Linked DNA regions of Drosophila melanogaster. The protein of the gene in region 2 interacts with the protein of the main gene of each other region in a pairwise test. Each region holds a gene or a part of one and is shown on either strand. Other genes may lie near its edges. The genes, in order: Edg78E, CG10948, CG6763 and 7B2.

Evidence for each region.
Region 1: the proteins of CG10948 (region 2) and Edg78E interact in a two-hybrid assay, tested with the Drosophila melanogaster proteins (one large-scale study listed by BioGRID).
Region 3: the proteins of CG10948 (region 2) and CG6763 interact in a two-hybrid assay, tested with the Drosophila melanogaster proteins (one large-scale study listed by BioGRID).
Region 4: the proteins of CG10948 (region 2) and 7B2 interact in a two-hybrid assay, tested with the Drosophila melanogaster proteins (one large-scale study listed by BioGRID).

Annotation. Positions count from the first base shown.
Region 1 is NT_037436.4:21,294,648-21,301,144, forward strand, and holds Edg78E (Ecdysone-dependent gene 78E), read right to left. Parts: upstream 3,157-6,497; 5' UTR 3,081-3,156; coding exon 3,069-3,080; intron 2,995-3,068; coding exon 2,638-2,994; 3' UTR 2,116-2,637; downstream 1-2,115. Other genes in the region: Cpr78Cb (cuticular protein 78Cb), read left to right, coding at 919-930, 1,014-1,424; CG43702 (uncharacterized protein), read left to right, coding at 4,130-4,363; Cpr78Cc (cuticular protein 78Cc), read left to right, coding at 5,974-5,985, 6,056-6,403. UniProt on the Drosophila melanogaster protein: Component of the cuticle of the pupa of fruit fly.
Region 2 is NT_037436.4:12,841,953-12,853,073, forward strand, and holds CG10948 (uncharacterized protein), read right to left. Parts: upstream 8,166-11,121; 5' UTR 8,084-8,165; coding exon 8,080-8,083; intron 7,840-8,079; exon of another isoform or gene 7,788-7,839; coding exon 7,206-7,787; intron 7,144-7,205; coding exon 6,418-7,143; intron 5,205-6,417; coding exon 5,098-5,204; intron 3,902-5,097; coding exon 3,782-3,901; intron 3,717-3,781; coding exon 3,105-3,716; intron 2,973-3,104; coding exon 2,709-2,972; 3' UTR 2,302-2,708; downstream 1-2,301. Other genes in the region: Wbp2 (WW domain binding protein 2), read left to right, coding at 8,324-8,379, 8,546-8,845, 8,963-9,201, 9,357-9,770, 10,664-10,764, 10,829-10,873.
Region 3 is NT_033777.3:23,282,077-23,289,806, reverse strand, and holds CG6763 (uncharacterized protein), read right to left. Parts: upstream 5,806-7,730; 5' UTR 5,034-5,805; coding exon 4,212-5,033; intron 4,146-4,211; coding exon 3,903-4,145; 3' UTR 3,766-3,902; downstream 1-3,765. Other genes in the region: bb8 (big bubble 8), read left to right, coding at 1-90, 148-740, 801-1,208, 1,270-1,494; wam (wampa), read left to right, coding at 1,915-3,567; Cdc16 (cell division cycle 16), read right to left, coding at 6,052-6,411, 6,475-7,123, 7,193-7,450, 7,510-7,730.
Region 4 is NT_033777.3:5,373,973-5,380,626, reverse strand, and holds 7B2 (7B2), read right to left. Parts: upstream 3,848-6,654; 5' UTR 3,696-3,847; coding exon 3,677-3,695; intron 3,629-3,676; coding exon 2,817-3,628; 3' UTR 2,652-2,816; downstream 1-2,651. Other genes in the region: kkv (krotzkopf verkehrt), read left to right, coding at 939-1,139, 1,195-1,560, 1,630-1,731, 1,807-1,989; CG14667 (uncharacterized protein), read right to left, coding at 4,344-4,470, 4,527-4,640, 4,703-5,349, 5,411-5,536; hd (humpty dumpty), read left to right, coding at 6,130-6,177, 6,237-6,394, 6,452-6,654. UniProt on the Drosophila melanogaster protein: Acts as a molecular chaperone for neuroendocrine convertase amon/PC2, preventing its premature activation in the regulated secretory pathway.

The DNA.
Region 1 (6,497 bases), 8.5 Mb from region 2:
ATGGCCTATTTTCTTAGATTTTATGGCATCTGCTATGATTTCTATAATCACTATTTGCATTTGCTTTAAAACCAGAAAAGGCTCTAAAAATTAATTTAATATTTGTTGATGTGAATATTTCAGAACATGCTGGGCGCCAATATGCTTCCGTGTTTGGAACCCTAGGTGGTATCATTTGTTATGGATAAATAGGTGTAAAAACTATACACTTATTTCAAGCGGTTATACAACAAACTTCAAGTGCTTATGCTTTAAGTAATATCATACATACATACATTGGTCTAAACTAATTTATTGATCCAAATTTTAACTACCTCACACTGTTAACTCAACTCAAAACTAGTATTTATAACTTCCATCGAGGGTATCGCTTCCTTTTATTAACAATAATAAAATCAAAATCGGAAACTCGGCTCCATAAATTCCACAGCAAATTGGCAGAAGATCTTCAAGAACTCGAGATACTTATCACATTTTATTATCGCATTTATTAGCATCTGAAGTATGAAATCGTAAAATATGAATAAGCAAACATGATAAACGGAAATGAATAATATGTGGCCGCTCCGATATGACCTGCTATCGAGAACCAAAAATTGGTGGGCAGGGTAGCCACACAGAGCAGCGTTTTATCTCAGAAGACGCCAGAGCCACCGATTATTGGCATTTGGTTATGCTTATTAGATTTTCGTGGCTTACGTTTTGGCCCGTTGTTTGCCACATATAAAGTTGGAGAGACCAGCTGGCCGGAGTGGCAGTACGGTGGCTAACTTTAAACCTCGCAGACGTCGGAATTCCGCAGCGGATTACATCAAATCGGGATATTATAAATTATTACAAAATCAATCATAAAACTCCGAGTGGATATTGTGTATAGCTGACAGTGCAAAAAGACAAACCGAGATAAAACCGAGAAATATGCGAAATTTTGTAAGCACTTCGACCCTGTGTCCATTTGTGTTCCCCATCCGATCTGTGAACTTGATCGCTGATAAGACCTCTTTTGGTTTCAGCTAATTGGTATGGTGCTTTTGGCCCTGATTTGGGTGGAGGTGGATGCCCGTCTGGTGAGAGTCCGCCGGATCCGGAGATTGGTCGGAGCCAGTGAGCGGGATGCACGGATAACGGACTTCCGCGTTTCGCCCACGGATGACGAAGGAGTGTTTAAGTACGCCTTCAAGACCAGTAATGGAATCGATGTCCAAGCGGCAGGATCTCCGCTGGAGACCATTGGCATCTATAGCTACACCTCACCGGAGGGCGTTCCCATCGAGACGCGCTACATAGCCGATGAACTGGGCTTCCATGTAGTGGGACGTCATCTGCCGCAGCCACCGCCCACTCCGGACTATATCCTGCGATCCTTGGAGTACATTCGCACTCACACCGAGGATGGCAATCTGAAGAATCCGCACTTCTTGTGAAGTTCCTGACTGGATCCTATCCATTATACACATCGACTTGGATGCAAGTGTCCGTGAAGAAGGCTGACAATACTATAGCATGTACTAATCACCAACTAACTTTAGTAGCTTAAAACTTAAGACCTAGACTAAGTTGTTGCTAGATGTTCTAAGATCTTTGAAATGCCCAAATGTTTCTTGCCCTCGGTCTGTTCTGCTTGGGTTATAAATCAATCCGTCCATGCATCCATCGATTCTTTCACGCCGGAATTTATGGTCTTCGCGCCCATAAAGAGCAAACAATGGGGCTCGCCCAAACACAAAACACACAGTATCTCGGGCGACCCCAACGAATTCTATCTTGTTATCCCATTAACTGCGAACAGATTTATTTGTCTGCGTGTCTGATTAATATTTACGTCTATTCTCAGATATGGAAATTTGAAAACTGGATGGAAAAGAGTCGTGGCTCTGTTTGGGCGACCTTTCGATGGCTTAATAATAAACGGAAATTTTTTCCGGGTTTGAACTTCTTCAAAAGCGTCTCGGGCAGGATTTGCAAAATTTCGATCAAGTTCGGCTCACTCGAATTTAAAAACAACCAAACATATCTACATATTAAGCGAATTAAATGCCGCAAATGCCGCGAAAACCTCTGTTGAAGACATTTGTTTGTTTTTCTGCGTGTAGCCCAAAAGTATAGTTTGTTAAACACGAGATTTTGTTTCTTTTAATTTATCTCATCTGTGCATCACCGCTGGATTGGTTTTCAAAAATTTAACTATTGTAGTTCGGAAATCATAATGCGTTGAGTATAAATGAAAGTGGAAAAATAAATGACATAAATCAAAATCTATTACATAGATAAATGGTTTTATACAATTACTGGCTGCCGAAATCATTAACTAACATATACATTCTTCAAATTGTTCATTTGAAAGAAAAAAGAGCAATGTTAAGATAAAGAAATGTTTAAAAATGTAAACTCCATCCGCCTGAAATTTGTTTCTATTGAAGATAGTGTACGCTTCTATATTTTTCGAAGAACTATACATATGTTCATTTACATATGAATACATATACATGAAACATTTATTTTCCATCTTTACTACATTACTAAAAACGAAAATGATCTGTATCGAAATCCTTTATTAACGATAACTACCTAAATAACAATGACTGGCCGCAGTTTAGATGTGGGGTTGCTGCTTTGGAGTGCTGGTGCTACTCCAGATTACTGCTGCTCCTTCTGGGCGGGCGCCGGGGGATGGGTGCGGATATATTCCAGGGCACGGAGAACGTAAGCCGGAACTGGGGGCGGGGTGGGCAGGTGGTCACCCACTGGATGGTAGCCCTCCTCGTCGGCGGTGTATGTCAGCGAGATGTGCTCGCCCTCGGGCGACACGTAAGCCACGGCACCACGTGCTCCGTTGGCGTTGCCCGCCTCCTGGATCTGGATGCCATTGCTGGTCTCGTAGGCGTACTGGTAGTTGCCCTCAGCATCGGTAGCGTCGTTCTGGAAGCTGCGGATCTGGGCATCCTTGTTGATGTTGTCGGCGCAGGCGCAGCCGATGAGAGCAAGACAGAACAGCTTTTGGGATCAAAGTACAATGATCAGTATTGGTACTCTGGGGTATGAGGCGTGCCAAGTCCAACCGAACTTACATATTTGTACATGATGATGGGAATTGGGAATTTTCTTCTCTTAAAGCGGTGATGCTGTGATGATGGTGCTTGCAGTGCAACTGTTTAATTTGATCAGCTCAAGTGCGTCTTTTATATGGATGAGACCCTTGTCTTTAGTCTCTTTAGTTTAGCAGCTAAACAAGTTTTTTCTCGTGGAATCACAAGGACCCGAGAGGTGAGTATAATTGCCAAAATGTCTTCTTATCATACCACCAATATTGGGCAACAATAACAACAGTGCTCGGCTGGCCTATAGTTAAAATACATGAGTCATTTGCCAACAATTTATATTGTATGCTTTAATTCGGTTTCAGTTTCAGATTCGATTTCGGTTTCGGTTTCGCACGAGATACCATTAACTGTTGAATTACAATCGAATAAATATTGCTGTTTAATGTGACGCTTTCGGCCCATTCAAAACAGCGTTGGAAATTCCCAACACGAGCTGAAGATTTCTTGTTACAACTTTCAATTGGAGTTGCGCCCTGGGCTCGAGGCTTCCAAATGGAGTGGCAGGTGCGATGGTCTAGTATGGTGCGAGTATACCTTGTGCCCCTGGAAAGCTGTTGAAACGTGGACAAGGTCATCGGGCAGCATCAGCATGTCACCCGGAGCGCCGCCGAAGATGATCCAGCCATGCAGTGCGATGTTACGTGTGATCTTCTGATACCCTACATTTATGACTTTAATTAATTGTTCACTTTGATCTTCGGCGAATCGATTGGTTGCAATGGACGCAGCGATAGGTTCGAACGAAGATATTTTTTTGTTTCGAAATTAGCTTGGCAAACACCATCAACCATTGCAAACTGCTGTTAATTGCTGAGAATCGTTTCGGTAAACAAGGAAGTGTGCAAAATCCGAAGTAAGCTAGTAATTAAATGTAGTTCACACCTATCTCTCTACATATGTGTAGACTTCGATTCAAGAAATCGCCAAACGACCCAGGAAATAAACGTCATAAAATGGTATATTTTTCCCAGCCCAGGTAGAATGAAAGCAAAGCTGTAGACTCACACTAATCTGTTGGGACAATCCTTATGTATTTGCAGTGGATTTTCCTTCTTCTAATATTTCTGGATGTTGAGCCACACGCAATACGCAAAAACTACACCAAACCGGATGGATGTCTCGAGAATGCTATCAATTCAGAGGTGCAGATTCTGGACAGTGAAATACCTGGGTACTTCCACTTTGACCTGCCCGAGGGAGGATACATACGGGTGTTTTATCACGTGGATAAGTACGGCTTCTATACCGAAACTTTGCACTGACATAGAATGATTGAGAGTGTGTGTGTGTGTCTGTGCAGTTCTGCCATAATTGGAAACCAGATTTATTTCAACGAGTCTAATTTGTATTTAAGTTTATAAAAATAAAAATACAAATGCAAATATAGATCAAAAAGTTGCTTAAAACCGTTATAGAAATGCTGTTTAATATCTCGTGATATTCGGTAAGCAGACGTCGAAATGATCTGAGAATTTGTGTATTTGAATTTTAATAATTTAGCAATTCAGATTTGAGAGAATGTAGCCATCTGTCCAATACGTCATAGATTTCGGATAGGGCTTGGATGCTGGTGGGCCGGCTGAACTAGTTTGCCAGATCGGGTGGAGCGTCGATTGATGGGCATTTTATTAGGCGGAGTGCTAAGTGCGAATAGGCCTAGAATACAATTTATTACTGGACAGCGAATTTGTATGCTAATAAGCTGAACTTGCTGTTTTTTTTTTTTGGGGAATTTAAGAATTCCTTGATGAGCAAACAGGTTGTCCGCCTGCGCTCATAGCAAGCCAAATGGCCAATGATAATGAAATCGAAACGAATGATAAATTGGATTGGATGGAATTAAATTAGCTCGCCACGAGCTGCTGCCCCCTTCCAAATCCAAATCCAAATCCAGGTCCATCTCTAAACTTACCATCCACGGGCGAATGTCACAGTCACATGTTCCATTACCGTCGACATAACTCCAAGCCCCCAAAAGCTAACCAAAACTACTATTGGCCATTAAGTGCAAAGTCAAATGATTACCGCTACCAAGGCAGAAGCGTGTTGATCCATCGGCAGAAACCACTTGGAATGGGTTCAGGTGCTTCATTATACTCTAGCTAAGGCTGATATTATTTGGATCAGAGGTTTGCTTTTTTGAGATTGGTAAGATAAGTATATTGTATAAATATTTGAATTTGTTTTCGAAATGCAAATGTTTCAAGATAAGTATCATAAGCCACACCCCTTTTAGAGGCCGTGTAGTTCAAAGTCTTATATTGAAAAAAGAAGACACAAGCCAGTTTAGTCATTGAATTACCCAACTTCTACAGAATTACCACAATACACTTAATTTTAAATGACCATGCATGCTAATTTGTGCTTTATTTAAGGAAAATTTAAAACTATAATCCCTTGTTTGTTCTTCTATAAGAAAAAAAAAACGAAATAATAGCTCTCAAAGAAGTGAGCCCACAAGCCCGATTAATCAAAAAGAAAATAGTTTCCGATTAAGACGAAAATTGCTAGGCAGATAATTAAACTAAGCTAAGCCAAATGCCTATGATTTCTAGGTAAACTTAGCAATATCTGGCAAGGGTATTTCGCACTGCGGTGCTGAAATTCAGATCTCCTTTCCATTTTTTTACTAGCTGCTGAGCTGAATTTTATTCAATTCGATCGGTATGCTGCTGCCGAAAAAAAAAAACGACAAACGTATTAAGTTTGATATTTAGTTTGGAGCGGCGTTTGGAGTTCAGAGCCAGATTAGAGACGTCAGCGATGGCGACGCCAACGCCAAAGTCGGCGTTGCCGTTGGCTGCCTATAAAAGCCACCGCCTGCGAAGATCACCCAACCAGTGAGGATTATACAAGCCAAGAAACCAGCAAGATGTTTAAGCTAGTGAGTAGACTTAGCCGCCCGGAAGGATCCGGATTCAAAATCAGAACGTGAACGTGTGTAACCATTTCAGTCGCTCTGCCTGCTCGCCGCTCTGATGCTGGCCAATGTGTATGCGGACAACATAAACAAGGATGCCGTGATCACCCGCGAGGATGTTAATCCTGCCGACGCCGAGGGCAACTACCAATACGCCTTCGAGACCAGCAATGGTATTCAGGCCCAGGAGGCCGGAAACGTCAATGGCATTAGCGGAAGCAGCTCTTACATCTCCCCCGAAGGCGTCCCCATCTCACTGACCTACGTCGCCGATGAAAACGGCTTCCAGCCTCAGGGCGATCACCTTCCCACCGCTCCCCCAATCCCGGAGGCCATCCTCCGCGCCCTGGAATACATCGCCGCCCACCCTCCACAGCCCTAAATCCCCGATTGGATACCCCATTCAAAGCCTAGTCAGTGCTTTTGCTAAACATGAGTTATATCTAGTTCTAGAAAGTCTGTACATAAATCCCCCA
Region 2 (11,121 bases):
ACTGGTTGTAATCTCTATCTGCGCTAGTACTTAGAATATTAAAGTGTAATACTTTTTATCGGCAAACAACATTTTTTTGCGTTGACGCTCATTTTAAAATTTCATTTCCTCTCGGCTTCATCTGTGACGTCAAAAAATATATATTTCCTAATGCTCAACAAGTTTTCGATATGTTTTTATATATTAATGGTAATCTGTGTTAATTATTTATTGTTTGGTTTTCAGTATCCCGTGACAAGGTAAAACTATATTACTATCGCCAATTGTATCATAAATAAAATTGAGTTAATTCTAACTATAAATTATAAATAATCGTGAAACTTAAACCTAAAAATTAATTTTTAACACTTTTGATTGATAGAAACACTTAACTATTCGAAATTTCGTAAAAATTCCAGACTTGATTGGAATTTAATTATATCAAAAATTTTGAAAACTTGTTTAAAATTTCAAAGTTTAAATATTAAAATCTCTTAGAATAAGTCATCATAAAAAGTCATTAGTGCAAAAAAGCATCGCATAATCAGATGAATTCTTTTTTCAATATTTTAAAAACAGTGGAAAATTTTGAAAATATAAACCTGCTATTTTCACACAGGTTTCACATTGATATGGGTACGTATATTTGTACTAAAAATGAACTCAAGTTGTTTCAGGTTTCTGTATTTATTTTGAAATATTTTTCTGCTTTTCCCCCTAGCCGGTAATTTATCACTTTGTCCGGCAGATTGGTATAAATTTTGGTGTTCTGTGTTATTTGTCGCTTTTTCGGAAATGCCAATGGCTCTCAAACTACGTTCAAAAGACCGGGTGAAAATCGAACTTACCCGCGTAAAAAACAAAAACACGAGTTTTGTTGTTGCCCCTGCAGCTTCCCACTCGAATTCGTGAACTTGAATTGTCCTTTGAAGAGAGAGACTTTCCTTTATCTCCCCTTTTTTTTCGATTTGTTCCGTTTTTTTTGCACAAAGAAAGTGCACGTAATTATATTAAAATATACAGCGGCGGACGAAATTACAGTTCACATGCACGCACTTAAAACACCCCGTTACTTGGACATGTACGACAAAATCAGTGGTTCGTTCCAATGGAATCCTCCTGCGGGCTTCTGGAACAGAACCGCGCGCCTCGAATTCGCAAAAACGACTGATAGCATTGATATAGACGGGCCTCCCTCGTCGACGTTCGCAGCGGCACAGCGGCAGAAAAGCACTCCAAATACACCGATGCACAGAGAGAAAATACGTGCTGTTTATGGCTATTCATTCTTTGATGGTATAAGAGAGATATTCTCTTAAATACCAAAAGGCTCTGTAATAATTAAAGAGGTATAATAACGCCTATTAGGTTGAAAAAATATGTTAGGCCAATTCAAAAACAGAAGTGATTTTTTTCCGTGCTGCGTAGTACTTTGTTTTTGCTTTGGGAAATTTACGCTCATGTTCTTATTCTCTCTTTCATCTCCCCCTTTGCATATGTAGTTGTTGTTGTACTTTCATCTCTCAGTAATTTTGTTTTTGCGGTTACGGCTTATTCTAAATTTCCAAACGCGCTTTAAGTACGATAAACGTTTCGTTGACGTCACAAATATTGGGTAAACTCATAGGTAGAGTATGGAATTTTATCACGTCACTGAAATATGTGGGAGAGAACGGGGAGGTAGAGGGGTCAAAGGACACGGGGAGGCAGGATGCTGTTGGGCATTGTCCTTGGCAGAGGACGCGCAGCTTCATTTCGCGCACTTTATAGCGGCTTACGCCACAAACGTAAGCTCCTTACGTAATGTTTTGGAGTTACATATGTGTATGTACATATGTAATGTATTTCTGCAGGATAACAACAGACTTCATCATATTGTATGTAATAAAATATTTCACCAAGTCCATGAATTCTTGCTTAGGAGGAAGCTGAAAATTCTTTCGACTGTATTTTCATAATACAACTTTAGTCAAAATATCACAAGAAATAAAAGAATTTGGAATAATAATCGCATTCATTAAATCCTTTTTAATGGATCAATCTTGTTAAAGCTCAAATAAAACTGCTAATGTTATTTGACATCGTGTTCGATTTCAATTAACGAATCATGTAAAGCTTGTGAATCAGGAAGCTTACAACTGATAACCAAACTCATAAATTAAGTTTAATTTTATTTTAATAAAATCAATTTTAAAAATAAGTATGGAAATCTCAAAATATTTAAGATGCTGTATTCGATTTCAAGATTAAGCTCTCTTGAAAGATGTGTGTTTGTGTCATTAACCAAATATTTTATCTGATTCAAATTAAAGAAAACTCTTTGTAGTTTAGCATACAATTTATTTGGTTCCATTCTTTCGCTTCCGTTCAACAAAAGCAACGCGACCTTCTGCCTCTCAGTTTATTTAAAATATTGATGTATATATATTTTGTATATATTGAATTCATTTAGCTTAAGTGTATATATATTCTTTAGGTTGAGTTATTTAAATAATTGAAACGGTAGTTAGTTTGTGGTGTCTTTCTTCCGATTGAGTTAACTTCGAGTACTTGCCCTTAAACCTGGATCTGGTCTCATTAAGTCGTGATTTCATTGAAAAACTTGCGTCTTTCCTTTGGTTAACATTTCACTTTCCTCCGCTTACTCGCTACTCATTATGATATAGTTGTAAGATAATTAAAGCATTTAATTGTCATCTTATTCGAGTCTACATTCCGCATTCATCCCCTCACTTTGACTCCGTCTGAGATTCAGTTGGTTCGCTGAAGCCACAGAATCTCCACTTCTCCTTTTCCGGCTTGAAGAGATTTGTGTACTTTCCGAGTATATTGGCTAGATCATCATGGTTACTGGGGGCAGCGTTATTGCGCAGCATTTCGCTTAAGTAACTGGCTATGTTGGCGATTTCAACGCCATAGGGATGCAGCACCAGATAGGCTGAGGCCAGAGCAATTATCTTGGCTTCAGACAAGACTAGCGACTTGAAAGTCACCTAAAACAAGGAATAGTGATTAGAAATATGCAAGGGAATGTATGAAATAATTAGATGCATGTAAAACTAAGATAAATTAAGTAATTAAATCTATATATATATATAGTTACACAAATAATTCTCATTACTAACCTCTTCCGCGGCCACTGTTGGGATTTGCTCTTTGCTGCTTTTGTTTATAGTCTCCTCATGATTCGACTTTGAAACATTTTCCATAATTGACTCATTTGCTTTGCTTTTCGTAGAATCCTTAGCGGGCTCCTGCTTTTCATCGTCCTCGATCTCGTGTATCTCCACCACACCGCTTTGGTGCTCTATGATGCGGACATCATCATCCACTTTATCGATATCAATTATTTCCGGTTCTGCCTGTGGGCGGATAATTTCTGTGCCTTCCCGGCTACACGAATCCCCGCTGCTGTAGTCGAGATTTGAGGCGTTTGAAGCATTTGAGGCTCCAGCGCTATTTGCCTCTTTGTCCCTTAATTTGTCCACTGTTTCCTTAATTTTGGTCTTCAACAGAAGTTGCTTAATGCCGGCATCCTTGAGATTTCGTTCCAACTGCTCAATGGTCTTGTTGTCCTTCTGTTCGCGTAGCTTCGTCTGCAGCAACTGGGTCTGCATGTTGCGAATGGTTTCCTGAAGTACCTTTATCTGCTTTTCGCGCTGAACATAATCACTGCGCTCCAGCGTCATCTCGTGACGAATGGCCTCCAGTTGACAGCGTAGAGAGTCGTTCTCGTCCTGATCCAATTTAAAATCTTTATTTTATTTCAAGTTACTTATACTAAACTATTTGATAAACATACTTTTAAGCCATCACTGTCGTAGCGAATTCGCTTGGCGCTGTGTCCGCGTCTATCGTAGTCCCGCTCATCGTCGGAGATTTCCATTTCATCATCATCTGTGATCTGGACAGTTCGAAGTTCCTGCGTGGCATGCGAAAGGAACTTCAATTAATTATCCGTTGCTACTAGTTGGATAGGTTTCGTTTGGTTTGAGTACCATTGCTTACACTATTATAACCTAGCTATAAAATTTGTGTATTTAAATAATGCATCAAATTTGTTTCCTTGCTTACGACTCTGTTCTGGTCCGCTTACTTACCTCGCCACATTTTCAAAAAGTTTTAGAATTTGTTTCGATTAATTTCTTTTTGCTATTAAAAATTAATTTGTATTTGTTGCACAAATTATGTTTCACAGCAGCAATGTTTTTAGTTCTTCCTTTTGCTATTTACCACAACCAATCGATTTCACTGAGTGCCCATCAAAACCTTCCTCGTTTTCTATAAAATTCAATTTCCCATAGAAACTTGAAGGTTTGTGGACACTCGGCTAAGGTTTACTTTTAGTTCGATGTATTTAAAGCGTATCGGAAATGTTATGCAAATGCTTAGTTAAAAATAGAGATAGTACAACAACAAATGATACTTGAAAGCCAAGAAAAGATAGACCAAAGCATTACAGATCAAGAGCGAAAGCAATAAAAGTAAAAGACCTCATATTTAGAAAGATACTAATGAGTGTTTATGATCAGGAAACTGTTTAAAAAACGCACTTTTACTTTGTAAAATGAATTCTTAGAAATATAGTAATATAGTTAACTAGTTTTTTAACAGTTTCCCTTAAAATAATCTTATTCATATATCTAATTCTACATAATTTAAACGATAGTACATTTTAAGCTTGCAAATTACATTAATATTAATATTGTTTCTTTTTTAGTGACATCACAACTGATTTGGAAATTTCGATAATCAAAAACACAAACAGCTAAAAAGAGTCTTAATGCACGGGACAAATAAAAGAAATTAACAATTAATAAAAAGCAATTAGCAGCTATAAGCGTCACCAATGGAATAGTACCATATGATTATATAGGACGGGTGAATGGGCGACATGCTGAATGATAACAGAAATTGCGTTAGTAAAATGGTTAGAAATCTACTGCAACACCACAACGATGATAACAACATCAACATAAACGGATACAACATTATGAAACCAAGAGATACAACAGTGAATCGAAGTTATTGGACAATAAATGTATTTTTTGTTTTTACACAATTTGCAACATCTTTGAAATTGTTCGTATTTGATTATTTGAACATTTTAGTACGTACCGTGGCTAATTTCTTCCATTGATCGATGTTTTTTCTTTGGGCTTTGGTGAAATGGTCCCAAACCTTCTTGTGACTAGCGGCATTGAACACTTTTTCAATCTGAGTGACTGAACAATAATGCAATAATATATAATAATATTAAGGGAGGACAGAGGGTATTTTTTTTTTTTTTTGATTGTTTGTTTATCTGGATTGGTTTTCAGTTTTGCTCTTCACCTTTGTCAAACTAGACTTGTTCTCTTTGCGAATAAAATGAGTGAGAAATGAAAAATTGAAATTAAACTACAGGAGAAACCCTCGCATAGCAATTATTTAATTAGAGTAGTTACGATTATTTAAGGTTGATATATTAGGTACAATCTAGAGAGAATACAACAGCGTGATTACCTATCTTTACGTTTGTCCGAGTCTGAGATTATCTGAGATGCTCTACAAGGACCTCTCAATCCATTACTGTACCAATTGTTTCAATTTGCTCTCTGCCTTGCGGCTTACAAACCTTTTGGGCCAAATAAGACTTAAGACTTTTGTGGTGGTGTCGAGACACAGTGAAAGTGAGTGAGGATCAGCCGCACAGTGGAGCGAATCAGTGAAAAGGGCGACCAACTTTTTAAATAAACATGATTGAATAAGAAATGATATTCCATTTTAATCAGGAAATCAAACTGTTAAATGAATGCGAAATGTAGTTTTATAGTTTTACATTAATATTAATTATCAAAATAATTGATAATTTAAGCGGGTTTTTGATTTAATACTTATTAGCGGTAGTTAATTGGCAGTAATAATTTAGTAAAACGTATTAAAACGACTGAACTTCCTAGTAAATGCATTAATCTTTCAAATGCCAATGCTTGTGCTAAGGCTCCATATACCATCACAAAACATTTTCAGATGTTAGAACAAAGGCAATCTCGATTGTCGCCTCATCCACTGACTTTTGCTGTGCGGCGGCCTTGGGCTTCGTCTTTTTCGGCTAGTCTTTACCTGATCCTGCTTGGATTCATTGGGCTTGCTCCAGCGACCATTGGCGAGCAAATTTTAGACGGTAGTTTCATATGTGGAGTTTGGCATTTAATAATTCGATGACTAGATTTGCTAAATATTGTGTAGGATGGGTATGGTGTGTTTTCAGTGTAGGTGTAGGTGTTTGGATGTGTAGTACGCTGGTAGATTGTTCAGATATACAGACGCTAAAAGGCTAACCCGGGCGCAACGTAAACAGAAAAATAGGATTTCAAAGTGGGATCGGCGCCTAGTTTCCCGTCTAGACTAGAGCTAAGAAAGCTGATCTTCCGGCTGAAAGGCCGAAATACTTACATTGCGTGGACATGGTGCCCATTTGGTTGCGATAGCTGTCTCTGGCCTTCTTTAGATCCTCCTCCAGTTGCAGTTTGTCTGCATGGAGTCTTCGTACATGGGCATGAGTGCTCTGGATCATCGAATAGAAGACATTGGCGTTCCGCTTAGTGCAATCTCCCCGCTCCAGCCACGCGGTAATCGTTTGAATGGCCTTTACAAAAGTCTCGTTGGTGCGTAGGTGCTCCGCAACAGTAGTAGCCTCGTGATCCGTGTAGTGCGGTATTGGTGGCGGCGACTGCGATCGCATCCTGTCCATCGACATGCGCTCACGATGACGCTGTTCCCTCTGATGCTGTCTCTGTCGACACTCGTAATCATACTGATCATCCCGTGCCTGTGCGTAGTCCACATGCAGGCGTCCAAAGTTGGGAGGTTCATTTAGCGCTGATATACGCAATCTATAGCCGGATAGGTAGATGGCCCTATCTATGGCACCCTCTTGGCGGTAGCGAATATGGCAAAAGTTCTTCTTGGACATGCGCAATGTGGTGATCTCGCCGCATGATTCGAAGATCTCCCGGATCACTTCTTCGGTTATGTTTTCCGGCAGTCCACCCACAAACACCGTCCGGCATCCTGGTGGTCGCTCCCTTATTGTGGGAGGAGGTGCGTTCGGATTAGGTGGAAACAGGATGCAGTTCTTGGTCTTGATCACCTCCTTGAGGCCAGCTGGTGTAACGCCATCTAAAAGTATGTTTTTATTAGAATGTTTATTTAAGGTTCCAATTTGGTATTGCTTTCATTACCCGCATTAAGAGTTGCTTCTAGTCCAGCTCCGGTTTCTGTGGTCATTCCGGCTGCTGCTGCCGCTGCATAGTGCATCTGTTGCATTTGTTGCATCGCCGCCGCCATCATGGCCGTAGGATCCATGAGCATTTGCGCATTGGCGGTGCTGTTTGCTGAAGCTGCCGGCGTGGATCCCCCTGCAGCCGAGGATGGATTGCCGGGTGCAGTAGCACCACCCGCTTGGGTGGCCGGAAAATACAGATATCCAGGTGGTGTGTGCACCAAGCCATTCAGGTATAGTTGCGTCGAATCGGGCAGAGTGAGCGAGTTGGATGTGGCCTGCAACTTGGGTTCCTTGTGCATCGTCGAGGAGCTCACATCCGCAGAGTGTTCGTTCTCATTCTCCAGATCCATGGGCGCACTGCCCTGTGGTTGTTGTTGTTGTTTTGCCATCTTATTCTGGATCTGTTTGGGGGGCGAAGAGGGATTTCCCACGACAGATGTGCTCGAGGCCGCCGTGGAAATTGCAGCTGCCAATTGGTTGAGGAAATTCGGGTGATTTGGCAAACTGACGCCATTCGGCATGGTCCCAAAGAGCGGTACTGCAAAATGTACACAGTTTGTAATTTGCTTTAAAAGAGATAACAACCCAAACGAAGCCGGTAGCAAAACAAAATAACCAATCAGCTGAGCACCTCAATTTTCGATAGGTAAAAAAAGGAAATAAAAGCTGGGGGGTGGCAAGTGCCCAAAATGGCGTAAGTCCCACCTGCTGATAAAAGTCGAATTCACCGCAAATACTGTTGTTTCTTAATTTCCCAGACCTTTCTATTTATTCCATTTTCTTTGCTACACATTTTGTGGGCTTTTTAAAATCATTATCTTATCACTTACGCATATTAACGCCCCAGTAATTGTACGACAGGTATGTATAAAAAAAAACTAATTATATTTAGAGATGAGTGACTGCTCGTACTGGTCACCCTAAAAAGAGTATCGATATCCGATAATTTCGGCGCTGCCACACTTTTCACTATGAATCATCAGCTGTCGTCAGTTTTCTAGAAAAACAAAACGTAGTTGTATGAAATTTTTGCAAATTTTTGTGGACTCAAAACAGTTGGAAAATTAAAGAGACATGTCGGTTAATACGGCTCACGCCAACAATGGCGTGCTCATCCATGCTGGAGAGTAGTAAGTTAACGGAAAAGTCCTTTAATTAACACTGAAAATGCTGAACATCCCTGACGTCATAAATGTAAACACTGACGTGTGGCTGGCGATTTGAAAGGAAATTAGCCTATGTTCCAGCGATAAGATAGAAATATGGCACACAAATTAACTGCTTTTACACTTTCAGCATACTGCTCCACAGCGACAGTGTCTCCATGGAGTTCTCCGGTCAGGACAATCCCATCTTCAAGGGCTCCAAAGGTGGCAGGATTTATCTCACCTCCCACCGAATGATCTTCAATAGCAAGAAGTCCTCGGATTCGATGCAGTCGTTCAGTGCCCCGTTTGTTGCTCTTTCGGATGTGGAAATCGAACAGCCCGTTTTCGGGGCCAACTACATCAAGGGAAAGGTTCGCGCTCAGCCAAATGGAAACTACGTGGGCGAGGTCAAGTTCAAGCTCCATTTCAAGGCAGGCGGCGCAATTGAGTAAGTGCATTGTGCACCTAAATTAAAACTAATTAGACGGATCTCTTGATAAGTCTTAATACTGAATAGACTCAAGAGAATATATAATGTTCTGATTAACAAGTCCATTTCTTATAGATATGGTCAAGCTCTACTGCGCTCCGCCAAGACGGCGATGAACAACTACCACCGCGGTGGTCTGGCTGGTGATGATCCGCCACCATATCAGCCGGCTGGATCCTGGAATGAGGCACCACCGCCGGCATATCAGCCACCACCTGGCTACTATGGCTGGCTGCCGCAGCATGACGCATTCAGCGGCCCTGCGCCGAATACGGTCTATATGAGCGACAATCCGCCGCCGTATCCGGGTATCGGTAAGTTAAACGCACGTGCACTTTACCCAATCTATACTCGGCTTTTGTTTTGGCACGCTGGCTACGCGAATTGGCAACCTGGCTTACCCACGAAATTCACGCTACGCACTCGCTTCGTTTAACCCAATGGGGCACTCCTCTCTTTTTCGTCTTAGCACCACCTGCTCACCAACCAGCACCGCAACAGCCGCAGGCACCGTCGTCGAATGAACCCAATTGGTATGGTTTTTCAGCGCCGCCGCCGCAGCAGCAACAACAGCAGCCGGGCTATGGGCCACAAGGATGGGCCGGTGGCTATGTCCAACCTCCGCCGTACGCTTCATGTGCCCCAAATTGTCCACCACAGCCGCCGTACGCCGCTCCGGCTCAGACGTACAATGGTCCACAGCCATATGGTGGATACGGCAATGTTCCTGGCGGATTTAATACCCCCGGATTTCAGCAACCGAATGGAAATCCAAATGGCTATCCAGGTGGACCACCGCCACCCGGACAACAAGCAGCAGGAGCAGCTGGAGGAGCCGCCGCATCTGGAGCCAGCTTTATGGGCTTCAGCTTGCCCCCTGGAAGTGAGTAGAACTCATCATCCCATTCATCACTTTTTTAACATTTCCCTCCCACAATGCACATTTCTAAATTGGTTTTATTCTAGCAAAAGATAAAAAAATATGAGCAAAAGGACAAGAAAATTATGAACATCTTTAAAATAGTCGAAACATCTAAAGATCTAAAATGTTATCAAGAATTTAATTGAAGTATCATGAACCACCTTTTGCTTTCGGACGCTCAAAGTATTCAAGAGGCATCCAAAAACCATTCAGAAGCATTCGTTCTGTTTATTTTTCTCACTTACAAAATTATTCAATTTGTCCAAATAATAAATGATTTGTTAGCATAATTCATTTGACGGTGTAATATTCCTTTTTTGGTAGTGTTTATATTTGTTTTTTTCCCATTTTTGAGTTCCCTTATCAGGTTTCTCACCTAATATCCAAATAACGATTAACCTATTACTAATCAAAACAAAATTATTTCCCGAATCTAAAAAAAAGCATTTATCTTTTGACCTATTTTACAGTGTAATTAAAAGCAAACTACTGTACCTCAAATAGCCATCCCGACAAGTAAGATTTATTGTTTCAATGTTACCCAAAGCAAATTACTAACAAAAGCCGAGTCTTCAAGTAGTTAAGTCTATCCGATTTGATTTAGTGACATTTAATGGTTTCTTCTTTAACTTTTTCTTTATTACCCACAAAATGCGAACCAATAGTAGCCAGATTCGGCAGCACCCATCATTATTTCTATCCAATTCAAAGACCCATGTGTGTTGTGCTGGTTCCAGCTTTGATACCGTAAACATAAATTGTAAGAGGTGAATCGCAATGGTGTAAATTTTATGCTGTGTATATCGAGCTTGAGAACATTTATTACCAAAATGGATTGTTTTCTATTTTAACAGATTCCAAAGAAGCCGAAGCTGCAGCAAGTGCTTACAACACACCCTACAACCAAGGCGGGCCCAGTGGATCAGGCAACAATGATTTACCACCTTCTTATAATGTAAGCGATGTGGAACATTGTATTGAAAAAATGTCTAACTTCTTTTTTGTGTCTTATCTAATAGAACTTGCCACCCAGTTATGATGATGCATCGAAAAAAAATCACTAAAAGAAGCTGCATACTATATTCCCTTACGAAGAAATGCTAAATAACTAAGTAATTACTGCTCATTCCGTTGATGAAACTCTACACGAAATTATTGTTGTTTTCGGGCATTACAAATGTGCTTGGTTGGAATATTTGCTTGGAATTGTTGCTAATTAAATTCTTTCATAAGCAGCATATTCTTCATATGCTTTGATTTCTGGTCACAAAATTAGAATTTTGCTCTTTCGGCTTGATAAATTGTATTATTT
Region 3 (7,730 bases), on a different chromosome or scaffold from region 2:
ATTTTCCCATTGTCCGCAAAAACGGCACCTACGAGATCATCAGCGGTTATCGTTCGCATCATGTACGCCATCGATTGCCTCTCAAGGGCGGTAAGTGTGGTTTTATCTCATCTATAGGCGTATTCTTAAGCATCGGATCTCCTACAGGAATCCGATACGCTCTGGACGTGAACGAGAGCGAAGTTAAAGCCCTTGCCGCCATTATGACGTTCAAGTGCGCTTGCGTGAATGTACCTTATGGTGGATCTAAGGGCGGCATTTGTATCGATCCCAAGAAGTATACAGTGGATGAGCTGCAGACGATCACACGGCGATACACGATGGAGTTGCTCAAGCGTAATATGATTGGTCCCGGCATCGATGTACCGGCGCCCGATGTGAACACTGGTCCGCGTGAGATGAGCTGGATTGTTGATCAGTACCAGAAGACATTTGGCTACAAGGATATCAATTCATCGGCTATTGTCACCGGGAAGCCCGTACACAACGGCGGCATTAATGGTCGACATTCGGCCACGGGCAGAGGCGTTTGGAAGGCGGGCGATCTCTTTCTGAAGGATAAGGAATGGATGGATCTGCTCAAGTGGAAGACGGGATGGAAGGACAAGACGGTCATAGTGCAGGGATTTGGCAATGTGGGCTCCTTTGCCGCTAAGTATGTGCACGAGGCGGGCGCCAAAGTCATCGGAATAAAAGAGTTTGATGTTTCTCTGGTTAATAAGGACGGCATAGATATTAATGTAAGTGGCTCTTCACATTTTCTAGGTAATTTTATGAAAAAAAAACCCATTACGTTATAGGATCTTTTTGAATACACTGAGGAAAAGAAGACTATTAAAGGATATCCAAAAGCTCAGGAGTCTAAGGAGGACTTGTTGGTAGCCGAAACCGATATCCTTATGCCGTGTGCCACCCAAAAAGTGATAACCACCGACAATGCCAAAGACATCAAGGCCAAGCTGATCCTGGAAGGCGCCAACGGGCCGACCACACCATCTGGCGAGAAAATCCTATTGGATAAGGGTGTCCTCCTAGTTCCCGATCTCTATTGCAATGCGGGCGGCGTAACAGTATCCTACTTTGAGTACCTCAAAAACATTAACCACGTGTCATATGGCAAAATGAACTCTAAATCTACATCCGAGCTTATTATCGAACTGATGAACTCCATCAATGAGTCTTTGCATGAATGCCCCGATAGTCAACTAGTATGTCCATCCTTACCCTTAAGTAGTATAGTATAGTAAATCCCTTACTTTTCTCCTTTAGCCGAACATATGTCCCAATAAGAAACTTAAGAGGATACAACAATGCACCACAGAGGCGGATATCGTGGACTCGGCTCTCCAAACAGTTATGGAATCTGCAGCACGTGGCATCAAGGAGATGGCCCACAAATTTGAATTGTGTAACGATCTGCGGAGGGCCGCCTACGTTTGGTCTTCATTCAAAATTTTCCAAGCCATGGAAAGCTCCGGAATTTCCCAACAGTAGTGGTTTACCCTCAAGAACAAAAGAAATTCACAGTTTTTCATTGGTTAATTTTTAATTCTTAAGTTGAATAAAAGAGTTACTATTTAATTAAAACATAAAATATGCCTAATTTAAATCAACTTACAACCTATATTGGCATAAATATTGGGCTTTGATACACTTGGTATGAATCTAGTTAAATATTTATCTATTTAAGTATGAAATATACGCCACATACGCCTTGACATACAATTCATATCTTATTTAGAGTTTAGACAGAGAGTTTAGAGTTTAGTGATTAGACAAACATATTGCAACTTTTTAAACACTACGAAAGCAAGCATACAAACACGAATATTCTGCTTGATTTTCGTTACTAAAGTCTCCACTTTTATAAGGTGGAACTCCGTTTTGGGTTAGCTACTGAAGAAAGCATTCACCATGGAGGAAATCAAGAAGTTTGACAAGCTTGCCTTCCTGGAAAGCTACCTGCTGAAGCACAAGGAATTGGGCAAGCGACAGCGCGAGTACAAGAAGATCCTGTCCAGCAAACTCAAGACCCGCAAGGAGACCATCATCGAGGCCAGCTTTGAGACGGCCATCGATCAGCTGGAGGAGGAGAAAAACGATCTGCGTGCCCAGATCTGGGTGGCCAGTGGTACGACCCACAAAAAACAGAACAATCGCTGGCTGGAGCTGATTCGCTGCCATGTCGAGTGCCAGGAGAATCTGTCGCAGGACATTAACTCTCTGAAGACATCGATTTCCAACATGGAGAAGGAGATAAGTCGCATGTCCAAGCAAATATACAACCTGAATCGTTTAACCATTCCGGATCAGCAACATCAGGCCTATGTAATGCGAGCACGGAAAAGGATGACCATTTTGGAGAATTCCCTGGAGGTGGGAGTGCGTCAGGAGTGCGGTTTTACGGCAGCCAATGCGGATCTGCGAGAGCAGCTTATCCGCATCCTGAATCATCGCACCTTCTTCAATGATTCATACACCAAAATGGTGCAGAAGCTGAACAGCGAGAAAAAGTATCTCATAGATCTGATCGAATACGCTCTGAATACCTTCGATGGCTGCATTGAGGTGTACGAGAAAATTGATTTGTTGGCCAAAAGGGAGGCCAAGGAGCGCGATATGAGACGTGTGGAGATGCAGGGTATTATGCGAAAGGTGGCAGCCGATGGTGATAACACCGCCTTCCTGAATTGCAAGTCTAAGCCTCGAGAGCTGGCCGATTTGCAGCCCAAGGAGTACAAGCGAAGGGATGAATTCCGACGGGTGCACAACAAAAAGATCAATCTCTACAACTCGGTGCTGCAGAAGATTCTCCAGTATACGGAATCTAGCAATATGGACGAGGTGATCGATAAGTTTCAGCAGCAGGAGAGTCTCTATTACTCGTTCTTCAACTATGCCAACGAAATGAGCTACCACATAACTATGCTGAATAATTCGGTGAATCGCCTGTTTGAGGATATAGTTAACCTGAAAAAGGATAACTCCAACACGCTGCAGGACCAACTGGATCAGATTTCCAGTCTGGAGAACAAGGTGCGTAACAAACAGGAATCCAACATGGAACTGCACAAGGCGCGGGAAAACAACGATGCACGTTTGGAGAATCTTCTACAGGGCGTGGAGACGGTCTGCGAGATGTGTTCCATAGATGCCAGTCCGCTGACCAAACTCCTTGGTGACCACACCCACGTCAATCTGGTTAATGTCAATCGATTCTTGAAGCTGCTCGAGACAAGGGTCCAGGAGCTGACGGCTAGTGTTTATGTGATGGAGCGCCAAGAGGAGGGCCGCTTCGACTATGTGGTCAAGCAGATCGAGAAGATCTGCGAGCTGCCCACCGATCTCAATGACATTGTGCTCACCCAGCAGTGTCCCGAGTGCGCCGAGGGTGAAGCCTTCAACATGGATGAGGGCGGCGATGGTGTCCTTGTCCACACGGTCGCCGAGGCCAAGAAGAAGCTGTACGAGAAGGTTACGCAGCCGGAGATGCAGTACCGCCTGCACAGCATCAGCCAGTGTCGTCTGCCGCGATCCCGTCTCCTGGCCGCCAAGCGCAACATGTAGTTCTGGAATATATGATGCAAATCACATTCCCATTAGTTTCGGTTTCAAATATGCATATGTGCAACATTTTCCGGTTAGATATCTAGGACTAGAATCGTCTGATTCTCATGTTTCGGTTGCAATTATAATAAATTCCCAAGTTAACCTACAGCTTAAAATTAGTCGATTCCAACTGATGAATATTTAAATCCGTTTGTTCAATTCATGCTAAATTTTAATAATTATCAACTAAACATATTAGCTACATGTTTAAGTAATGGTGCTAGATTTTTTGTATGTGGAATGCGTTAAATACTTTCGAGCGTTGGTGGATGGTACGAGCTAGTAGATTCTGTCTATGAACTGGTCTCCTTCTTTTCATCGCCCAATCCCAATCCGCTGATCAGGCCGCCGATGAAGCTATCTACAATCGGATTGCCACTGCCAGCAGGGGCGCCAGGAGCAGGAGCAGGGGCGGGTAATCCTGGGGCAACTGGAACAGCGTTGACGGTGCCACAATCGTACATACGATTCAGCTTCTGGATATCGTAGTCGGAGAAACCATTCCTCTGGCCCATTTTATCGGCGCCATTGGCTTGCTGCGAATGCAGAAATTGAAGAGTGTTAAGTTAAACCCAGGAGACTTTTGGTACCATTGTACTCACCATGGCCAGTATGGTGGGCTGTCCGTTGATGGAGAAGGCGTTCTTGGAGTAGTGCATCACGCTGCCATAGTCGTAGGGCACCCCAAAGGCTTCCGTGCGGGCGGCCTTTTCGAAGTTGTTCATCGCCGAGGACTGGACATTGTTGTACTGGATGGCCACATAACCATCGCGCTCCATACGGTTCTGTTCATGAAGGAAGCCGAGGGCGTGCATCAGCTCGTGCATGGCGGTTCCTGGACGGCTGAGACAGCCGGGAGACTGTAGGTTCACCTCCTGCTTGCCACCCACTCGACCAACGGAGGACCAACAGCCGGAGTTGTCGCCGCGAATGGAGATGTAGTCCCGCTCAGAGCTGCGCTTCACAAACCGAATGCACGTCCGACGATGGTACTCACCAATGGCATTTTCAATTGTGGCCATATCTCTGGCATTGAAGTTTCCTCGGATTTCATATGGCACCACACCATTTGGCCAACGGGAGGACTGAGTGGGCAGTCCATTTTTCATAATCAGATCCGTTTGCGGCACCAGCATATCACCCTCCAGATAGCTGCCCAGTTCCTCAGGATTCATCTCATCTGCATCCGCACTAAAGTTACCCACACGATTCGCCGTTAGCTCCTCATCCGGTTTGCCAAAGAGCGCCGTTCCCAATGGTGTCAGGTCGATGATATCCTTGCCAAGAGTGGGTGGTATCTCCTCGATTCCATTTCCAGGCAGCTCGATGACCTCCGTATCGTCAACATCATCATAGGATACATAGGGAAGCGCTTGGCAGGACGATAGAGCCAAAGCTAGGACTAGAAAAACTTTCAGGCTCATTGTTATAATCGTAATTGCTTTTGTTTGGGTGATTGGATTGCCTCTTTGTTGAATGGCTAGAATGAAACTGTGCTGAGTTCTGACCCGGTCGGGATTTATATATTTTCCAGCATAATCGCCGCCGCCAACGCTTATCAAACTTTGCCGGTGGCGGTGGCTTTCATATGCATAAACATGTTTTCCACGAGGAAACCTTCAACGGAGCTGCAATCGTCATCGCTGGCTTCTTGGTTTGTCACACGCTTTATGGCCTGGTAAATATTTGGCCAGCACTCTCGTTAAGCGGCTATACATATGGGACTGTGTCTGTCTGCTTCGCTATTGCCATAAAGTGTATCAGTAGTTTGTTTGCATATCCAAAGTTTAACGACTTTATACGTAATTTGTCGCCCCCAAAGCGATAACCGATAAGCACTATCGCGGCGACCTCTTGCCTTTATGGATTTATACCGCCTGCTGTTGGAAGATATTCCGGAATAATTTGCCGGCTATTTGGAGTGGAAAGACACGCGAAACACTTGTATAATTTGTATCTACGGAACTTTGTTTCCACTCCAAAGAAATCTTACCAAATGGCATTGAAAAAGTTCATGTTTTGATTGTAACTTTGCGGTACGTGCTTATTAGAGGAAGCAAACTCTTGTGATTACAACTTTAGTTCTTCTTGCATATGCTAAGCTTACTTTAATTATTATAAAATGGTATTCAAGTTACAAAATGAATGAGAGAACGTGGCTAGAGGACCACTCTTGGCTGGCCGTACAATTATGATTCAAATGAGACTTTTACGTTTTCTTAAATACTTAATGTTATTCACATGGCGGCGACTTCGATTGATGGTGGGAAAAACAGAGCTGAAAAATCCCAAGACTTTGCTCATTAGCCAGACGACAATATACAAGCATAAACATCTGTATTTGTTCTGGCCACGAATTAAGTTCAAGTGCATGGCATATGTTTGTCTGGCTAACAATAGGAGCTAACATTAATGATTGACATAAGTTGGTATACATTTTTTCTAGGTATCGAAGCTCATTTCCACTACCATGTTGGAATCGGAGTTGGCAAACTCCTCTTCCTCATCGAACTTTAGCTTCATCCCATTAAACTTGTCCGAGTTCAACACCCGGCGACTGTTGGCCGTGATATTCTTGGCCACGTCTCGCAAGGCCGCGCTGCAGATCTCATCAATAGTAGCCGAGTCGTCCATAAGGTCTTCGATACAACTCTTAAGGATCGTAGACGTCACTATGCAGTCTCTGTTCAGGGCCAAACTCTTGTGGAAAGCTTCGATGGCGGGGTCTAGATTTCCTAGCAAAGCATGTATAAATCCTATTGAAGTGTATGTAGTAGGACTTTGCGGCTTTAATAGAAGTGCCTGAAAGTCAATCGTTGAATATCAAGGACATATCAAATACCTATAGTACAAAAATATACTCACATATTGAAAGTTGTATAGAGCTTCCTCGTACTTATGCACCTTGCGCAGCGAATGACCGAGATTTATAAAAAGCGGTTCCCAGCGGGACGAGATCTCCTCGTTGTTGCTCTTGGCCCGCTGTTTCACAATGTCCACGGTGCACTGAAAAATGGTGGCGGCACCGTCAAAGAACTCATACTCGTACTTTATCACACCAAGCTCATGAAGTACATATACATCCAGCGGCGCAATATTCATAGCCTGTAGGAAAAATTTCTCAGCTAGCTCAAGATTTTTAGTTAGCCCGCACTCCACACCTATGTAAAGCAACGGGAGATGACAACCTCGCATCAGTTGTGTGGCCTTAAAATAGGCTGCCATTGCCTGCTCGTGCTCATTCTCATTGGCAAAACTGTGACCATAAGCTAACCAAGCGGGGCCATAAAGTCGGTCCAAAGCAGTTGCCTTGGAGAGATAACGCCGGGCAGGATCACTTTTGCCAATCATGTCGTAGTAGCAGCCCACGGCGTACCAAGAGATCGCTTTGTCCGGATAACGGTCCACCAGCTTATGGGCTACGTAAAATAGCCGATTAAAGTCGCCGTTTTCCACCAGACAGGCAATCTGAATGGTCAGTGCAGTGTTATGAAAGGGATCCACCTTAAGGAGTCTATATATGATAAGCAAAACCAAATACATTTTTGATCAATATAAGTCTTTTACGCCGTTCTTCACTTACTCATTGAGTATTTTCAGGCACTGTTTGTAGTCGCAGTCGTAGAAACACTTCTCCGCCTCAGCGGCCATTAGGTCAGTACTACGTTGTACCCGATCAAGACATTCAGCGATAGGAATTAATGTGTCCGTGTCATGATCACGCGATCGCCTCCTACTGGATGAGTCAAACATGGACCGGTGAGAAGCATCAATGAGGGAAGAAGCCTTTGAGAGACTAGTTTGTAGGGAAAATGTGGGCGCCTTTAGATCTTCCAGGACTCTTAAAGATACAACTTCAATAAGAATGCGCTAAATATTAGAAATATCAGGAGAACTGACTTCTGTGCGGGCGACATGAACTGGCTGGGCGTAAGCGGCACCTTGACGGCGCTCACCTTGGGCATTTGTGTGTCTGACGACCCGCTCTGCTGCACTCGAGCTGTAAATTCCTTGATAAACTGGAGTATGTCAGGATTAACAATGGGGGACATCTCCTCAGCATTGCGTGCGGAAATCAACTCGTAGTACTTCTTCAGGCGAGATTCATAAAGTTTTAGTAT
Region 4 (6,654 bases), on a different chromosome or scaffold from region 2:
CCAAACTAACACTACTCTTTTTTCGGTATAATTCTTTCTTTGGCGCCACGATCTGAATCTGAAATCGAACTGAATCCAAACTGAATCGAAATGAAGGCCCGCATTGCCTCCGACCTGATTGAGCTGCGGAACAAGTCGGTCTTTGCGTTTTTCATGGCCAACGCCCTGTTCGTGCTGATTGTCTTCTTGTTGCAACTGAACAAGGACAAGCTACACATTATTTGGCCGTTGGGCGTCAAAACCAACATTACCTATATCGAAGAGACATCCGAGGTTTATACACAAGCTTTTCTCGATGTTATATAGTATTACCCACAACTGTGCTGTCATAGTGTATTTGTCTTACCCTAAAACCTCCGGACGGGTCCTCTAACTTCCTGCCTGTCCTCCTCAGTTTCACTTTCTCTAAATGTTTACTACCCAACATGTCCAACATGTCACATCACCAAACAGCTAATGATGCTCTTTGTTCTCGGTACTCCCGTTTACCTTGTTAGCCCCATCCTAATGGTTCAGGCTGTTTATCATACGAATACATCATGTAAAAACAACAGAACAACATCTTGGCATTTTCGCGGTTCTAACAGTTAGCCCTAAAATGACAACACGGTAAACTGTAAGCAACATACTTAAGTATCCCCCTCTGAGTAATCACAGTTCTGTACACAAGGGCCAGAGGTGCGGCCAGCATGTTCATTGTTCCTCAGACATCAATGTGTTCAATAAATATATAAATAAAACCAAACCCGACATATAACCTACCTCCCAAATGGTATCACACCACAACCTCAACCTCAACATGCCACAATCACCGACTACTGGTATCAAGATCAGCCATTATCCAAGCCCAAACCGTCAACCAATCAAATCGTTCAGTGTCACTAACCCAAAATCAACTCCTTCAGGGCCCCGCTAATCGTATTACTCATCCCCCATAGGTGCACATCTCCAAGGAGTACCTTCAGCTGGAGCCCATCGGATTGGTGTTCGTATTCTTCTTTGCTCTTATTTTGATAATCCAGTTCACGGCCATGCTGTTCCATCGATTTGGAACCATTTCGCACATCCTGGCCTCGACTGAACTCAACTTCTGCAAGAAGAAGTCTGAGGATCTGACACAGGACCAACTAATAGATAAGGTAGGTGGCCCGTAATTGACATTAATACAAATAATAAAATTATGATATTATTTAGCATGCTGTGGAGATCGTCAAGAACTTGCAGAGGCTGCAGGGAATCGATGGCGACTACGACAATGACTCCGGTTCCGGGCCAGATCGCATAGCCAGGCGGAAGACCATTCAAAATCTGGAGAAGGCGCGACAGCCACGTCGCCAGATCGGCACCCTGGATGTGGCGTTCAAGAAGCGCTTCCTGAAACTCACCGCCGATGCGGAGAACAATCCGGCCACGCCCATTCTCACCCGCCGCCTGACAATGCGGGCGGAGACCATCCGGGCACTGGAGGTGCGTAAGAATTCGGTGATGGCCGAAAGGCGGAAGTCCGCGATGCAAACTCTGGGAGCAAAGAACGAGTACGGAATCACAACTGGAGCACCGGTGAGATTAGAAAAGTTTTTGGAGAAATTTTAGATACAGGATCATAACTTCTTTAATGCATATATGTAGATTAACAACAATGGAGCTCTGCCGAATCAGCGAAGCGGACGTGTCTCGAATGCAGGCATCAGCATCAAGGATGTATTCAATGTGAACGGTGGTGGTGCCGAGGTAAAGGCCAATTTATAATCATAAAATATGTGTATTCTCATGGAAATATTTTGTTACGTCCGCTTACACTTGCAGCAGATTTACGGCTCGAATGGGGGCGGCACTATCAACCAGGGTTACGAGCATGTGATCGACGAGGACGGCGACGGCAACTCCCTGCGGCTGACCACCAGGAATCCCCATCCCCACCCGCACCACCAGGTCTCCTGGGGCCAGAACACCAACGGCGGCGGCGGTAATGGCACAGGTCGCCTGTGAAGGACCCGCCCATCCTAGACGTAGAGCTAAGTTAGACCTAGGTAACTTGTTAACGAATTCCGCCTCTTTCCATCAACTGCCTAAACTTAAGACTAAGCCAATACCTAGAATTGTAGTCAGAAGGAAGGATTGTGTTGTATAGTATGTATAGGGACGCGAGTGAGAGCCAGGACACTCTGGCTCAGAAGGATCAGGTCGTTCATAAGGCTTCATGGCAACAGAACGAACATTATGCTTAGCTAATCACACTGCCAGTGTCGATGTGTGCCAATAATTGGGTGGCTGATCGCCCACTGTGGCAGCAACATTCATGCGATGTACTATACTATCATTTGTTAGGTTATCTTTAAGTCAATACCCGCGTGGATCATCCGAAACACGCGGCCAGTGCATGCTGACACAAAATACTCAACGTGGAGCTGAACCGCAGTGGCCTATTTGTACACTCGACGACATATCGAGGATAGTTCTTTTTAAATGAATAATCATTGATGATTTGATGGATTGTAAAACTTTTTAAAACAATAAATAGAAGCATCAAACAGATATTCGATATTTCTCACTCTCATCAAACTTGGGTCATCCCAAGGATAAGCTACATCCGAACCCACCTTCGGTAGTGGAGACCCTACCCCAAGTTTAGACCAATACCCGCATATTTTCGGCTTAGAGCCCTGGTACTATACGAATAACTTTATTTTCGGGAAAGGGTAGAAACATTACTAGACATCGCTTGCGGGACAACATTGATAACCAGCTATGATAGATAATAGTATTAGACACCCATATGGAAACGTCGTGTATGCTCGCGTTATCAGCGAGTTACCTTAGTGGAATAAAAGGTTGCCCTTCTTGGCGGCTATGGGCAAGCGGTCGCCCTGGAGGAACGGGTTTATGACCGCGTCGTCCAGCCGAGGATCGGGCATCACAGGATATCCGGCCTTCTTAGCCAGGCTGTTAACGTTGTTCAGGCTGTTCTCCTGGCCCATCTGCATGATGTACTGCTCCACGGCGGAGTTCAGGTCACCCTTGTCGCCGCCCACATCAGCACTATCCTGTTCCGAGCAGTCGAACATATGCTCGTTGTCGCAGGTACAGTCCTGAGCGGCCTGGAACTCCCGGCTGAAGATGGCCGTGTTTTCGAAGTCGACAATGCAGCTGCCGCCTTGCGTCTCCATGTCGTAGCCCTCAGGGCAGGGATTAGGAGGGTTGCAGTAGGCAGGCAGGCCGGCGTCGTTCTTCACTATAGTGGGATACCTGTTGGGACCCTCTCCCATTCCGCCGGAGATGAACTGGTGACCCCACAGCGAACTGTGCTGCAGAAACTCGTCATCCCGCAGCGAAGGATGGGAGGCAGCTCCCGATGCCGAGCCCGATTGCAGGATGCAGTCGCTTCCGCCGTCACACAGCCTCGCGTACTCCGACCGGGAGACCAGGTCCACGTTGTCCTTGGAGCCAGCGGCTGCCTCGTTGCCCACGTCGTAATAGCCCACCTGCATGTCTTTGTCCATGCGATTCAGCAGATCCGTCATCAAGACATCGGCAAGAATATCCTTGGCGCTATAGGACTGCACCTGGTAGCCACTCAAGGCGACCACGAGCATCGCCACCATCATGTACACACCTGGAAAAACATGGGCTATTCTCTTACCTCACCCACCTATAAATATTACTTCAGCAGACTTACTTTGCGAACGGAACAACATATTGCGATTCCAAGCGGTTTCAACCGTCCACGTCGAAGTTTGGTAAGGTATTGATTTTTCGGCGGCAGCTGCTCCGATTCCGTGTATATACTAACGTGACGTAGGGCTCTGTGCTTCGTGCGGCGGCTACCAGTTGAATTTGCGAAATATACGCAGATCCAATCGAAGCTGCCTTATGGCAGCCACAGCTGAAAGGACGCATGCGCCGTACTCGAAAGCTCTTTTATGTTGAAGCAGTCCTGTGGGGGGCCGAGAATTAGATTAGCGCCAAACTGCTGGAGCTGAGGTTTTCAGGCCTCTTTAAGCTTTATTAGTATAAAATGCTGGAAGAAAATAAGAAAACTTAGTCGCTAAGAAAACTTTATTTTCTTGAATTGTATGACTAGAGGTTTATGTTACACGGTAATACGCTATAAATTTCCATTCCCTCCTTAATTTAAAAGTATGAACTATAAAAAATGACTTGAAAGTAAAACTGAAGGAATTTTATTTTCAATAAATTAAAAATACACTTATAAAAAAATAACATTGAACCGATACTCCATTGTCGAATATTATGGTAGCGAAGTAGTAAACTGAACTACTCAATTATGATTTATTTTTTTGACCTTAGCATTTACTTAGAAAGAAGGTGGTAATAATTGAGGGTTAGGTTGCCAATTCGATGAAATCGAATTCATCCTGCATATATTTGGCAAGGCGCTTATGCGGTGCTGTTTTTGTATGGGCCACCAAGCCTCGGCGAGTTATAAAATCCATGTTGCAAGGCTCACACCTAAACGCAAAAAATACGATATTAAGACATATGACTGCGCAAGCTGACAAGCTTACCTGAACTTTCGGATTTGCTTTGAGTGTGTCGAAAAGTGGTTCTGCAATTCGGAAACGCTGCTGAAGATCATTCCGCATTCTAGGCATGGATAAGGTCGTTCGTTCTTATGGGCTCTAAAATGAAATTGGAAGTTGCATATAGTGCTGCGCTAGCATTCAATTCCCAGCCTCCTTACTTGTCGTGCCGCAACTTAGCGCCCAGAGACGCGAAAGCCTCGTGGCAGATGGTGCACTGGAACCTGCGGTTAATTAAATGAACCTGGGTGCGATGCTGCTTGAGAAGCGCCTTCTTGTTAAAAGTCTGTGGGCACTCAGGGCAGGGGAAGAACTGGTTCATATCCCGCCGGTTCTGGTGCCCATTTAAATGCTCGGTGTACAGGAACGCATCGTGGAACAGGGTTCCACACTCGTCGCAGATAAAGAAGTTACTGCGCCTCTTGGCGGCCCGCTCCATTTCCTGCTCCTGTAGATCCTCCTGCTGCGCCGCTTCTGCTGCCGCCTCTGCTGCCGCTATCACAGCGGCAGAGGGGTCGTCATCCAGCTCGATTTCCTCTAGGTCTTGGTGTTCCTCTTTCGTGCCTTGATAACAAACGTACTGGTCGTCATCGTAGTGCGTCTCCAATTGATCCGCATCGATCAGTTGCTCGTCCAGCGGCTCGGAACTAAGCTCAACGTGAACAGTGCTTTGATCACTGGTCTTCTTTATGATATCCAGCAGGTACTTTTGCGAGAAGATGCACCGCTCGCGGAACTTGGTGGCCAGGTCCAGCTCGGAGAAGCAGCGCTCGCAAACAATCTCCGGCAGCCCCTGGTTTCTTGTCAGCTGAACAAATTCCAGGTAATAACAATTGTTGGCGCGGTCGGAAGCTGACATAACGACCTACCTCCACTCCCGTGATTAGCTTCAGTTGACCCAAATATTTTCCCCGCATGTGAATGAATATGTTGCGATCTCGCTGGTGGCCCATAATTTTGTTGGCGCAAATACGGCAAACGTCGGCGAGGTTCATTGTTTATCAAGTTAATGTGTTTACTTTTAGCATAAAACGCAGCGACGGAAAGTGTTACCAGATCATAAAACAGTTGGAAAAACGACAGTGCTTAATCGATTTGTTATCGGTGAATCCGATAGTCAGATACATTTTTATAGCGCAAAAAGATTTTTTATTCATTTGATTTTATTAATAGTTAAAACGATACAACATGCGCTTGTTTAATTTAGGTTAGAAGCTTGTAAATCCAAAAAGAACCATTAAAATTAAAAAATCAAATTCGATGCCCAACAATGCCATTGTTAACCAACATAGCCCCTGCAGCCAGTGATATACAATTTAAGTTAGTTTCGTTTTGTAAACTACTCCATCTATTATAATAAATAATTAGTTAAATTGTGAGATTCGTTTTATTTGCCGACTAACGATATTTTTGGGAATTGAACATGGGCGAAAATAGCGAATAACGAGCTAATCAATCGAAAGATTTCACACCCCTAGTTGCGCGCCATAATTTTTTGTGATATTTGCAAACGTTTTGAAGATATTTGCAGTTCACAAAGTACTTAAATAATCCGTGAAGGTCCTGTGCGCGAACCAAGACATTGAACATGTCCACCGAAGCGAGTGTGGCTTCCAAATGGACGCGCCCAGATGACGTGGGTAAGGACTCGGAGGAGCACCTGCCCGCCACTAATGTTGTTGTTTCGTTTTCCAGTTCATCAAACTGCAGCGGCTCAAGCAGAAGAAGAACAAATTGGCAGCCCGCGTGAGCAACAACAACAATAGGCGGCCAAGACACCAAGTGGATGAGACGGATAAAAGCAAGCTACTGGAGGCTAAGCTCGCCCAGAAGCGAAAAAATCCGTTTGCGAAGTGAGTTTCCCTCTCTCTCGCTCTCCCCAAAATCCAATTACTGACTCCCTGCCTCAGATCCACAGCTGATGCCAAGAAACTGCGCGTTGATCCGCAACTGGCGGACCTCGAACCAGTGGTCACTGCCTCCTCCTGCTTTGTGCGGGAAACGCCCACGCGCCCGGCGCCCGCCAAATTCGTGCTCCAGAAGTACGACCCGCAGGCCTTTGCCAAGCTCTTCCAGCATCCCCAAATCAACGCTGAGGACGAGGACGATGCGG